Drosophila melanogaster: one gene and its partner. The protein of the gene in region 2 interacts with the protein of the main gene of each other region in a pairwise test. Each region holds a gene or a part of one and is shown on either strand. Other genes may lie near its edges.

Region 1 (3,922 bases), on a different chromosome or scaffold from region 2:
GGCTGATCAATGTTCCACTTATCAGGCACAGTTGTTGCTTGTTGGGCCGCAGGATTTGGCACAGGAAGTCGAGGGGAGTTTGTGTCAGCCGCGTTGATAGCGATAAATAGTATGCCAAACTGAATAGCAACGGATACAGACGGAGGTGTATCACTAGACCGTGAGCCAAGCCCGCTCCGAATATAAGCCAGTAACTCCTGGTGACATTGTGCTCAGATTTTAACAGCAGGTATATAGTTAGTATCACGAAGAAGCTTGAGAAGCAATCGCCGCTTCCACGTGTGGATATTACAGCCGTCAGCGGGTTGTATAACCAAAAGCAAGCAGAGGCGCGGGCCAAGTTCTCTGGATGACTTCGCTCATCCAGGGCATCCAGCGATTGGTCCGAGTCCCGTGGCCTGTTGAACTTGCTAAGCAGGTGTTGTACGGTCTTCTGGTACTGACTCTTGATTTCCATGTGCACCAGACGGTAAATAAGTGTGGCGATGAGAAGATCGAATGTCGCATACAGTAGTTTACCCCACGCCGGATGAAGCAGGATGTTAAAAGTCTGCAGATATGCCATGATTGGGCTATATCGGTAAGTATGCCTGGCGAAGGGTGTGTCCCCAGCCAGAACTTGACGGGCTCCATCAGTCACCACCTTGTAGTCTATATCGGTGTAGGGCACGGCGGACTGACTGTCGTGTAATTGTCCGTAGCAAATTAAAGCTATTCGCAGCAGGGCGGATATTAGTAGATGGGTCCGAAAGCTAGTGTAAAGGATGCGGCGACCCAGTCGCTGCCATCCAGTGGTCGCAGCCTTTGTTTGAGTCATCGTGTTTATTGTTTACGTTTGTCTAAAGCTTGGTCTTCATTTCCAAAGCGGTCTTGCGGATACAGCTTAGGAACTCCTTGAACTCGGTGTCGCAGATTTTGTGCTGCACGTTTAGATCACGCGACACGCAAACCGCATACGCAGTGGCTTTGTCCGCGCACTTGCTTAGCAGAACTGGATAGTTGCGGATTCTTTGGTTGGCTTTGCGCACCGATTCCATGCCTTAGCTTAGCGCTTGTGAGGCGGAACTTTGTTCTCCGGCGGTGGTAGGGGATCGGCGATAAAGCAGTCAAACAGGGGCTTGGAGAAGAAGATCAGAAGTGAGCCTGTGATGAAGGAGATCTGGAACAGGCGTGGATTTCGCTGAATCCACGTGCGTTTGGGTAGCACAGCGGTTCGCCTGCGCTGATTTGCTTGCTGTTGCTCCTTTTGGTCCAGCAAGTCTTGAATTTCCTTCGGAGGCCTATACTGCGGTATGGACATTATTTGTTCCTGCAAAACGAGTTGATAATAGTGTATATGGAATAGAGAAGTTGGCTACAACTCACGACTTGCCGGTTGCGTTCTTTTCCTTGGATGCGTCTGGTAGATAAGTCTTCTCCAAATCGATTCCACTGCAGCAAAGCGATTCCTTGTGCCACTTTAAACAGCACTGGCGCATTGCCTCAAGGACATCCAAGCACTTGTCCTCCTGGTAGTGATTCTCTGTAACCGAGTGCAAGTCAGCTTACATAACCATGAAAATGGAGTCACCGGCGGTGCTTACTGGTCAGACAGGCTTGTATGCGGCAGGCGTTCGGTTTGCAGGGATCCTTGCGAGTGTCAGACATGTAATCCTGCCCAGAATTCTTACGATATTAAATCGCTCTTGCAATATGTGAAAAGTACTTGGAAGTGTTCTGCACTCTTCTTCTTCTTGGCGGTTGTAGTCATTCACAGTGCACGATCAAGGTAGCCAGACTGCGCGACGGTCAGCTGTGTAGGAAACCTAATACATCAAAGCAAAATAAAAAACAATCACATAAATAACAACAAAAAGAAATAACATCTCTTATAATGTACAAAAATTTTTAATCTTTCAAATTTTGATATTAATACCTTTTGCTTCCCTGTGAATACCCCGCCTGCTGCGAGAGCAACTGCCATTCACCCATCGACGCCGACAGTTGGGCACCAAGGAACTGTTCTTGTGTGAAAAACACACACACATTTGTTTTATTTCACTAGGACTCTTGACGATTACTTCACAAATCGGAAAATGCCATCGAAAAAGAAAAAATACAACGCACGCTTTCCGGCGGTAAGTTGAAACCACCGATTGGCGACAGGAAAGCTCCAGCCATTTGGCGGCCGTGAACGCCGAAGATGGGTTATCAGTTTTCGTGCATGTGTACATACATATGTACATACACGCCTCGCATAATCAGAGGCTCAAAAGAAGTAGAGGAGAAACCAAACCGGTGCGAGATTATAATGTTTCCAAACCATTACCATAAACTCCTTGCAGGGTCGCATCAAGAAGATCATGCAAAGCGACGAGGAAATCGGGAAGGTGGCCCAGGCGGTGCCTGTTATCATCTCACGCACGCTGGAGCTCTTCGTGGAGTCGCTGCTGACCAAGACGCTGCGCATCACGAATGCGCGCAACGCCAAGACGCTATCGCCATCGCACATGAGGCAGTGTATCGTATCCGAGAAACGCTTTGACTTCCTCAAGGAGCTGGTCCGCAACATACCCGACATCAGTGTGGCCGAGGAGGCCGCCTACAACGAGGACGATGTGTTACGCAGCTCGCCAGAGGAACAGTATCCAGATTCAGACACGCCATATGATCTTAGCCTGCCATCGACGTCAATGCGCTCGCAGGCGAACGGCACAGCTGCCTACATGCGCTCCATGAGTCTGAACAACGGAGCCGGATCGGGCGGAGGAGCCGCAGCCACCAAGCGGCAGTTTCAGTCGCAGCACTCCACCCAGGAAACTCCCACCACCAGCACCACCCTGCCCGCCAAGCTGGCCCGCTCCGGGTCCATGCCGGCCTACACGCCACGGGGCAGACCGCCCAATCACCTCAAGAAACAGTCGGTGCAGCTCGATACTGCCATACCCGCCCCGATCTGCAACTACGAACTCAACAAGCCCATTGTCAAGATCGACTACAGCCACGTGCAAATGCCGACGGCGAACCTGTGCACACCGGACGCCTCTGATTCTGGGTCAGGATCGGGCGCCGGATCTGGAGCTTTTAACTTCGACATAGCTGCTCCGGTGATCAATATCGATCTGACGAATATCGTGGCCGGTGGAGCACCTGGCAGTGGTGTGCCCCCCGCCTCTATTGGATTACCAGCGGCCACGCCGGGGGACAACAATAATGTGAACCAAATGGCTGGAAAGAGCAGCGCTCCCATCATTCCAAAGGCCACAGCGGCATCAGCGACCCCCACTGAAACCGTTTTCGAATTAGACGAAGACTATGACAATATTTGATTAGGATCTATGTGAATGCGCTTTTAAATTATTGATACATTAATATGTACTCTAGGTCTAAGAAATCACAATAACATTTTTTGCAAAATAAAGACCATGCTGGATTTTAAGCTGACGCAATGCGGAGTACTTTAAATAGAGAAAGAAAATTTATACATTCTAGCAGATAATGCTGTTTAATTTGCATACGATATTAAATCAGTTTATCTTTGAATTAGATGTACTAAACAAGTTCAACAATTATTGAAAATGTTTGCATTCATAGACACCATAAAAAAGCCGCCTCTGGGCGGCCGAAAGTCATTTATGCCCATCCCAGAGGCCAAGTTAGTTGACGATGTCGTCAGCTACATCGCCAAGCCAGAGTTCTATTCGACTGTTCCAGCGGCATTGAAGATGCAACGCCTTTTCTATGTGCAATACAGCGAACTGGCTGCCAAGTTGGAGACTGACCTCACAGCAGTGTTAACCCGTTTGGAGGCTGCCAAAAATAATTTGGAATTGGTGAGGAGGTTCATAGACAATCCTGACAAGGAAGTTCACAGCCTCGTGCAAATCGCACAGGGAGTATTCAGATGGGTGAGCATACCGCCAGTGCAAAAGGTTACCCTTCA
Region 2 (7,826 bases):
GCTACGCCTTCTCCATTGCCGAGAGCATCATGGGTCAGGTATTCAAGCGAACCGGGAAAATATTGAGCCTGAGTAAGCAACAAATCGTGGACTGCAGTGTGTCCCATGGAAACCAAGGATGCGTCGGCGGCTCCCTGCGAAATACTTTGAGTTATTTGCAGAGCACGGGCGGCATAATGAGGGACCAAGATTATCCGTATGTGGCAAGGGTAAATACCAAACAATTAGGAAGATAGTTAGTTGCTTTTATTTAGATATATACGCTTATTTATAAGCTTTATAAAAATCAAGGTGTTAGAATGACTACAGCTTGAGCTATTCATTTAATTGGTAAGTTAAGGAACGAATCTTTTGTTTTTTAAACATTATCAAATTATTTTTGGTGATATTGAATATTAGAATAGTAGAATATTTAGTTATTACAGGCAATACAACTAATGCTAACTAATGCATATGTTTTTCAGAAAGGCAAATGCCAGTTCGTACCCGATTTATCCGTAGTTAATGTGACATCCTGGGCCATTCTTCCCGTGCGCGATGAGCAGGCCATTCAGGCGGCAGTTACCCACATTGGACCAGTTGCAATTTCTATAAATGCCTCCCCAAAGACATTTCAACTGTACAGGTAATGACCGTAAATACTTACATATATATTTTTGTTTTTAAATTTAGCCTTTTGTCTCAGTGACGGCATCTACGATGACCCCTTGTGCTCATCGGCTTCCGTAAATCATGCCATGGTGGTAATTGGTTTTGGAAAGGATTATTGGATACTAAAGAATTGGTGGGGCCAAAATTGGGGCGAAAATGGTTACATACGAATTCGCAAGGGAGTCAATATGTGCGGAATTGCCAATTATGCCGCTTATGCAATTGTTTAAACTAAATCTCTTATAACAAAATATCTATAAACTGATGAGAAAATAAATGATTTTTTAATAATAACTTATGAATTTGAAATTCTAGATGTCTCTAACTCAATGGGTTTGATATGTTGATAAATTAATGAGTTTACACTGTGCAACACAGTTCAGTTTGACAAATGAAGATGGCACATGTTCGTTCTGTAAAAACTAGGACATTAGCTGAGTATATTCGTCCTTCGATTGGATACTTGTGCAATAAACTCAGCAATGAGTTATGCCACCTTTGTAGCCCAGTGTCATTAGCACAAAGTTGAAGTAATGAATATGGGGGGCGTGGCAAAGCGCCAACTCAGATCCTTGTTTTATGGCACTGAGCCCGCCCACAAATCGATAAAACAGCTCCCCAAACGACGGCGACGACTTTGTGAAATAAAAATAATGCCCTTTTCCTGTGGATTTGCGTGGCAAGCACAGCGATTTAAATGGTATTTATAAAGTGCCAAAAAGCTGAGCGCTGGAAATCCTTCGACCAGGATGTGAAACTTTCGCGCAAAACTCCTCCCACAATGGCATCATTTATTGCAATTATAATGTGTTTCATTGCCGCTTAATGGATAAATAGTGCTCCATAATGGCTATAACCAATAATAGGAAAGTAAGCTGGAATCGCTGAGCGTGCAACCACTTTGCCTGCTCCGTAGACCAATGAGAGCAATTGAAAGGACCTCCGTAGGCAGGACTTCACTTAACTTTACACTGCCCCGCCGACTTGGGGTGGATTTTTTAAGGACTCACGCGAGAGAGAGAGAGCGATTTCGCTGGATTTTTGAAGGGTAGGAGAGTGAAGTGCTGTTGCAGGACCAAAGAAATTGCTAATTGAATAGAGTCAAGATGTTGAACTAGTCATATTTGTCCATTAAAACGGGCAGTCATCCGTTTATGTCTGGCCAAAATCGAAGCGATAATATTTTCTATTCCGTCGCGCTCTCGAACGAACAATTTAAGCGGTTGAATCGAATGTGGATAATCCGAAGGACATGCGCAGCAATAAAGAGCCAACTGAGGTGATTAGGCACGCCGAATGCCATTGGTGTTGACTATAAAATAGTCGGCAGCTTAGTTTCGTTACAGCAACTTATGCTCGAACGCATAAAAAAGCAACGGCATTTATTTGTTTACCCAAGCCAAGGATAATGGAGCAGTTGGCCCAGTTTGTCACCAAGTCCTTTGAGTTCAATCTAACTAACAACAGTGTACACGCCTTATTCAATTCGATGACGGGCGCGCGTTTAAAAAAGCCCACGGAAGTGAAAAATTCCATATTCATAAACTCGATCAGTTCCGGCGGCAGTTATGCCGATACTTGCGCGAGTGGCGAGGAGTCCGTGGACATAGACATTACCGACCTATCCGTATCCGAGAGCAATACGATCCTCGCTATCGATCCGGAGCCAACGGAAGAATCTCATTCGCAGCGCGAGGAGCATGTGGAAACCTACAGCCTTAGTCCCACTCTCCACAAGGCGGCGGTGGAGCCGAAGCCCAAGAACTGGCTAATTTCGGAGGATTTGGACGTGGACTCCCAGCCGGAAGGTAACTTCACTAACTGGATATGATGGGTAGTGCTGGTAGATATCGCTTAAAACATTCCGCAAGCTGATATCTTAAGATAATCCGCAATCTGATATCCTATATAATCCGTCGGTGATTGAACAATTTGCATGGTCCAAAGCAAATTTATTTCTTTTGTTTTTAACAAGAATAGAATAATATTTTTACCTGCATTTAATATTTTCTTACCATTATGTTACTTAGTTACTAATTTATTTGGCAAATTTTGGGATTACGATATCTTTAATTATATATTTGTGGCTTAAACAACTATATATAACATGTTTTAAATTGCAACATGGATTTAAAACCGACCGGATATCACTCAATAATAGAAAAAACTGAAAAGTTGTTGCATAATTAGGATGTTTGTTAAGAATTATGACATTTATAGCATGACTTTTTTATTACACATGGATCGAATACAAAAACGCGAATAAGTAAGGATATCACTTTTATACGGACAGATAAACGGACAAACAAACGGACATGGCTTGATCGACTCAGCTAGTGAATCCTAGTGAAAGATACTTTGTACGGTATAGGTTAAAGTCAAAGTGTTAAACAAGATAATTGCCTAATAAACCTTTTACCTATAACTTTATTACCGTCACATATCAATATCTAAAAGCAATTCGTAATCCATTGCGTTGATTCATCTAACCATTAATGTCCATATAAAGTATGTAGTTTATTCGATATCCGTAAATATTTGAGTTAATAAGCCAGTAGTTGTAGCATGTACATATATTCATCAAAAAGTGCCCATTAACTTTGTGTACAAGTTTCAAATAAAAATGATCTTATTCATAGTGTCTATATAATCCGTCGGATAATGAACTTGTATTTTCGGTGCATAACAAATCAATAATCACACATTTTAATTAAATAAAGACTAATGCCTTTTTTTTGCCGTTTTTATAACCAGTATAAATAGAGAAAGAAATCTTAAAGTTAAGAATAATACATTATAATAATATAATTATTACAAACAAAATCTACTGACTTAAAAATTTTTTAAGAGACATCATGATAAATTTGTTTGAATTTCTTTTTAATTTTAAAAGTGTAAAAAAAGTGACCCAAGCATTCAAAATAAAAGGATAAACTTGTGTTTTATATTCTAGATCGATTGACATTAAGTATGCCATACGCATATGAATATAGAAAAAACTATAACCTTTTCAGATCCGAAAATGTCTGGATTGCCCACTGCCAGCATAACCGAGTGCACGGAGGACAGTAATACGCCAAAGCTGGCGCCGGATAAGCCATTATTGCCGGAAGAATGCGTCTCTCCGGAGCCCAGTCGCAACCGGGAGCACTGCGATCCGCTGGACACGTCGCTGGTGAACACCAAGCAGCGGAGATCGCGGACGAACTTCACCCTGGACCAGCTGAACGAGCTGGAGCGACTGTTCGAGGAGACCCACTATCCAGATGCCTTCATGCGCGAGGAACTGAGTCAGCGACTGGGCCTCAGCGAAGCTAGAGTGCAGGTAATTATGTTCACGCATCAACTCCATAAATTATACCCCGATTGCAACATGACATTGGAAATGTCCGAGGACGCCCCTTTGGACACCACGAGGTCCAAATTGTTTTTCAATGGTTATTCATTACACTTGTACTAATGACAACCAGACATTGTCTCCCCGAAATATTTCGACCGAATGTGGAAGCAGTGACTTTGATTTTTCAACCACCGGCATGGTGAAAATAATGAAGGAAACTACATTGGAAAGTCGAAGTTTATATACCCTACAGCTTAAAGGAAAACTAGAAAATAGGTTTTTCAATTATTATCAACCAGCATACATAGATACTATATTCGATGATAATAATAACTACCTTTTGTAAGGATGATGTGCAGATACAGATATGCAGACGAATGGACAGACAGATATACGGACATTCTGACTTACGGACATATAGACAAAGTGACACAACTCGATGCTGATCCAAAATATATATATGTATATGCTGACAAAGTACATATACACTCTGTAAGGGCATAGATGGCATAGATATGGGGTGTTAAGTGGTTTACGCCACCCTTTGTCGTCTGGGACACAAGTAGAAAATTGCTCGAGCATCGGGGGGCCGGTTAGAGATTAAATGCTCAATCAGGGTGCTGGAATAGGCACTATGTGGTCATGAAATATGTAGTTACAATTCCAAAGCCAGCAGGAGTGTCACTTTTTTTATGGTCCGTAATAAATTGCTTAGCTCTTCGCAACTTTTAGCCCGCTAAAATATCTAAGAAGTACGCATCTGCCGAGATTAACGGGAAATAAACAGTGATAATTCAGTGTATACTGAAGCAACTAATGACCAAATCGGATATTATAATGCCTTAATTTCCTTAATTTATATTAATGAAACAAACAAGTGATGTGATGGTAACTTTCATTTATCAATTATGTGTTCTTGCAGGTTTGGTTTCAAAATAGAAGGGCGAAATGTAGAAAGCACGAAAACCAAATGCACAAAGGTGAGCAAATAACTAAGGCTCCTTCTAAGTTAACTTTAAAACATTAATGTAATTAAAAACTAGCATAAATTGGTGCCCCTTTTTTTTAAGCACCCCTCTCACCTTCGCCAAGTTTGCGCCAATTAAGCTTAATGAAAGTGTAAATTGCAATTAGTTAAGTACACAAAAATCAGGCTAGAACATTTACATTTCGGAATGCTGCTGTTCATTTTCTGGCTTATCAACTTGCTGGGGCCAATATGTTACGGTTTTCACAGTTGTTTAAATGTCTCTTCATTAATTCATTTGGCTTTCCGTTTCCGTTCAACCCTCGTTTCCAAGGACTTAACCCCCCCATCCATCCATCAACTTCCCCGCCCTACGCCACTCGATAGAATTTGTATCCTTCGTTTTATTGCCCGAATATTTAATTTGATGAAGTTAGCAATGATTTGTGCTTTGCTGTCGCTAAAAAAAAAAAGAGAAGCGTTCTTATTTTATGTATATATTGCCGAAGGGATTTCGCTGGCTAAAATCTGAGCAGATGCGTTTGTGAGTCCTGATTATAATTCGAAGGGCAAACAAACTGAACTGAAAACCCGGAGGTGTTGAGGTGCGCGAAAAAATTTATTTTCGAGTTTAGAAGAATGCAAATCAATACATTTACGCATTTATGACTTCCTGAGTGTGTGTGCTTTTTCACATAAATATAAATCGCATTCGGGTAGCTCAGCCTAATTGGATTAAAAAAGATATAATCGCATTTATCAAATTTGCCGCCTAATGCGGCCGTATTTCAATACTGGACCTTCGGGCATAAAAAACTTTTCGGAAATGTAATCAAATTGAAATTTTGGCATAAAAAGCACGGCAGACACGGCGAATGGAATGGCCAGCACTTTATGGGTCCATATCAATTCTCAGGCTCTTTGCCACGGTGAACCACCCATAAACAAGACGTTAACCTGGCCTCCAGTTCCCAGGAGACCCATTTGTATGTGCCGCTCCACTCCAGAAATTTCACCCGCCAGCGGTAACACGTCCCTGTGGTTCCGGCCATCCGGCTTTCCGACTTTCCGGGGCGTTTTCCGAGCAATAAATTACAAAATGAATTCAATTACTTGTCACTGAATCTTAAAACGATTTGCCAATCTAGCAGGTACGGTACATATCCATCTAAGCAGAGTGATTGCCGGCAGTGAATCCTTCGGATAATCCTTAAAATATTGCTTATTTCTTTGGTGCATCTTAAAAATTTAAATCACTTTTTTATACACTGAAAACTTAATGCAAATAAGTTTGTACTTATTACCTGTTTTTACTCTATAACCTTACACAAAAAGTTTTGCAGTTCTTAACCTTTTTGTTTAAGTACATTATTAATAATTATATATTATTACTAATATATAAACTGTATTCGTCTTTTCAGTTACAAGCAGAATTTTGTCTTACCTGCATGTTTCATTTTTAGCGAATGTTTTTAAATGTTCGTATTTTAATGGTCAATGAAAGTTAAAGAGCTTAACAACTTAATCGCACTAAAGATCTTAAATTATAACAATTTAAGCCACATTACATAATTGATCCAAAATTTGAACAGATTATACAAACTGTAAACTTAAAAAACCTTTCCCTAACTAACCTTTTTCAACCTTAAACCTTAAACCTTACTTTCTTACAATGAAAGTCAAACTTAAATCTACACTTTAGTTCCACAAGCCCCATCCAAGTGCAACACGTCTCATGTAATCCACTTATATCTTAAAGGATTCCTCGTGGGCAGCCGGAGTCCGCCGATTGCCACTCCGCTGGAACCATGTCGTGTGGCTCCCTACGTCAGCCTGGCCGCCCTTCGCAGCTCATCCGTTCCATCCCATCCTGCCGCAGCGACCAGCTCGAATCCCCAGGCACCCGGTGTCTCCGGAACCAGCAGTTCCGGCAAGGTGGTCACCGTGGACTCACCACATAATCACAATCCGGCGATATCGCGCTCGGCTATCAAACAGTTTTCCAGCACCGTGGCAGCAGCCGCCGCCTTTTCCGCTTTCGATCCGGCCATTATTTCGGTGGCAGCTCATCAGGTAAAATTCCAAATGGTAGTATTGCATCTATGATCCTGGCAGATTCAGCGATGCCAATCCTGAACTTAAAATATTGTAATCGATTGAGGCAGGCGCTGGTTAAACATACAATTTTATAATCTCGACAAAATTTTAAAGATTTTATTTATTTAAACCATCGAAAAGTTATTCATTAGTGCAAAGCTTAAAAGCTTAATTACTTATAATAATGCGTATCGTTTTTATGATAACTAACTTATACGACAAAGTTTGGAAAAAAGCCGTTTTTCATTTGAAATATTTCACATTGAAGTTTGTATGTACTAAGAGCATAAAAATATGAGATTCTGAAGAATCCTTGCCAAGAAAATTCTTCTAAATATTGAATATAATCTTTATTTCTAATGGTCCCAATACGAGTTAAGCAAAATAGATACAATTTAATGTATATGTATCTATATATCTATTCTTTTGCTGATTTCAGTACGCAGCTGCTATAACTAATGGAACCGTGCCGGCTGGATTGTTTTCTGTGCCCCAGTACTCCATAAATCTGGCCGCCTTCGCCGCCGCCCACAGCAAGAGCTCTTCGATAGCCGATCTCCGGATGAAGGCCAAGAAGCACTCGGAATCGTTGGGTCTGCAGGCGGACATGGTGCTCTAGTGACCACCTGGTAGTAGAACGTAGACATGTACATTCAATCGATGGTGCGGTGGAATTGCGTCTAGCACCAAAGTAATAAAAAGGATAGCCACATTTATTTATTTAATTAAAGTCTTACTTAATAAATCTAATGAATAAGAATGACTTAAAAC

The links. The genes of interacting proteins can lie anywhere in the genome.
Region 1: the proteins of CG34367 (region 2) and NC2alpha interact in a two-hybrid assay, tested with the Drosophila melanogaster proteins (one large-scale study listed by BioGRID).

Annotation. Positions count from the first base shown.
Region 1 is NT_033778.4:21,668,172-21,672,093, forward strand, and holds NC2alpha (negative cofactor 2alpha), read left to right. Parts: upstream 1-1,980; 5' UTR 1,981-2,075; coding exon 2,076-2,117; intron 2,118-2,324; coding exon 2,325-3,308; 3' UTR 3,309-3,422; downstream 3,423-3,922. Other genes in the region: PIG-M (phosphatidylinositol glycan anchor biosynthesis class M), read right to left, coding at 1-817; CG42380 (uncharacterized protein), read right to left, coding at 840-1,037; CG42379 (uncharacterized protein), read right to left, coding at 1,046-1,300; CG42381 (uncharacterized protein), read right to left, coding at 1,300-1,309, 1,366-1,522, 1,584-1,647; CG15676 (uncharacterized protein), read left to right, coding at 3,558-3,922.
Region 2 is NT_033779.5:10,347,865-10,355,690, reverse strand, and holds the start of CG34367 (uncharacterized protein), read left to right. Parts: upstream 1-1,785; 5' UTR 1,786-2,059; coding exon 2,060-2,459; intron 2,460-3,599; exon of another isoform or gene 3,600-3,634; coding exon of another isoform or gene 3,635-3,665; coding exon 3,666-3,976; intron 3,977-4,913; coding exon 4,914-4,971; intron 4,972-6,717; coding exon 6,718-7,031; intron 7,032-7,494; coding exon 7,495-7,674; 3' UTR 7,675-7,826. Other genes in the region: CtsL4 (cathepsin L4), read left to right, coding at 1-209, 465-625, 686-881.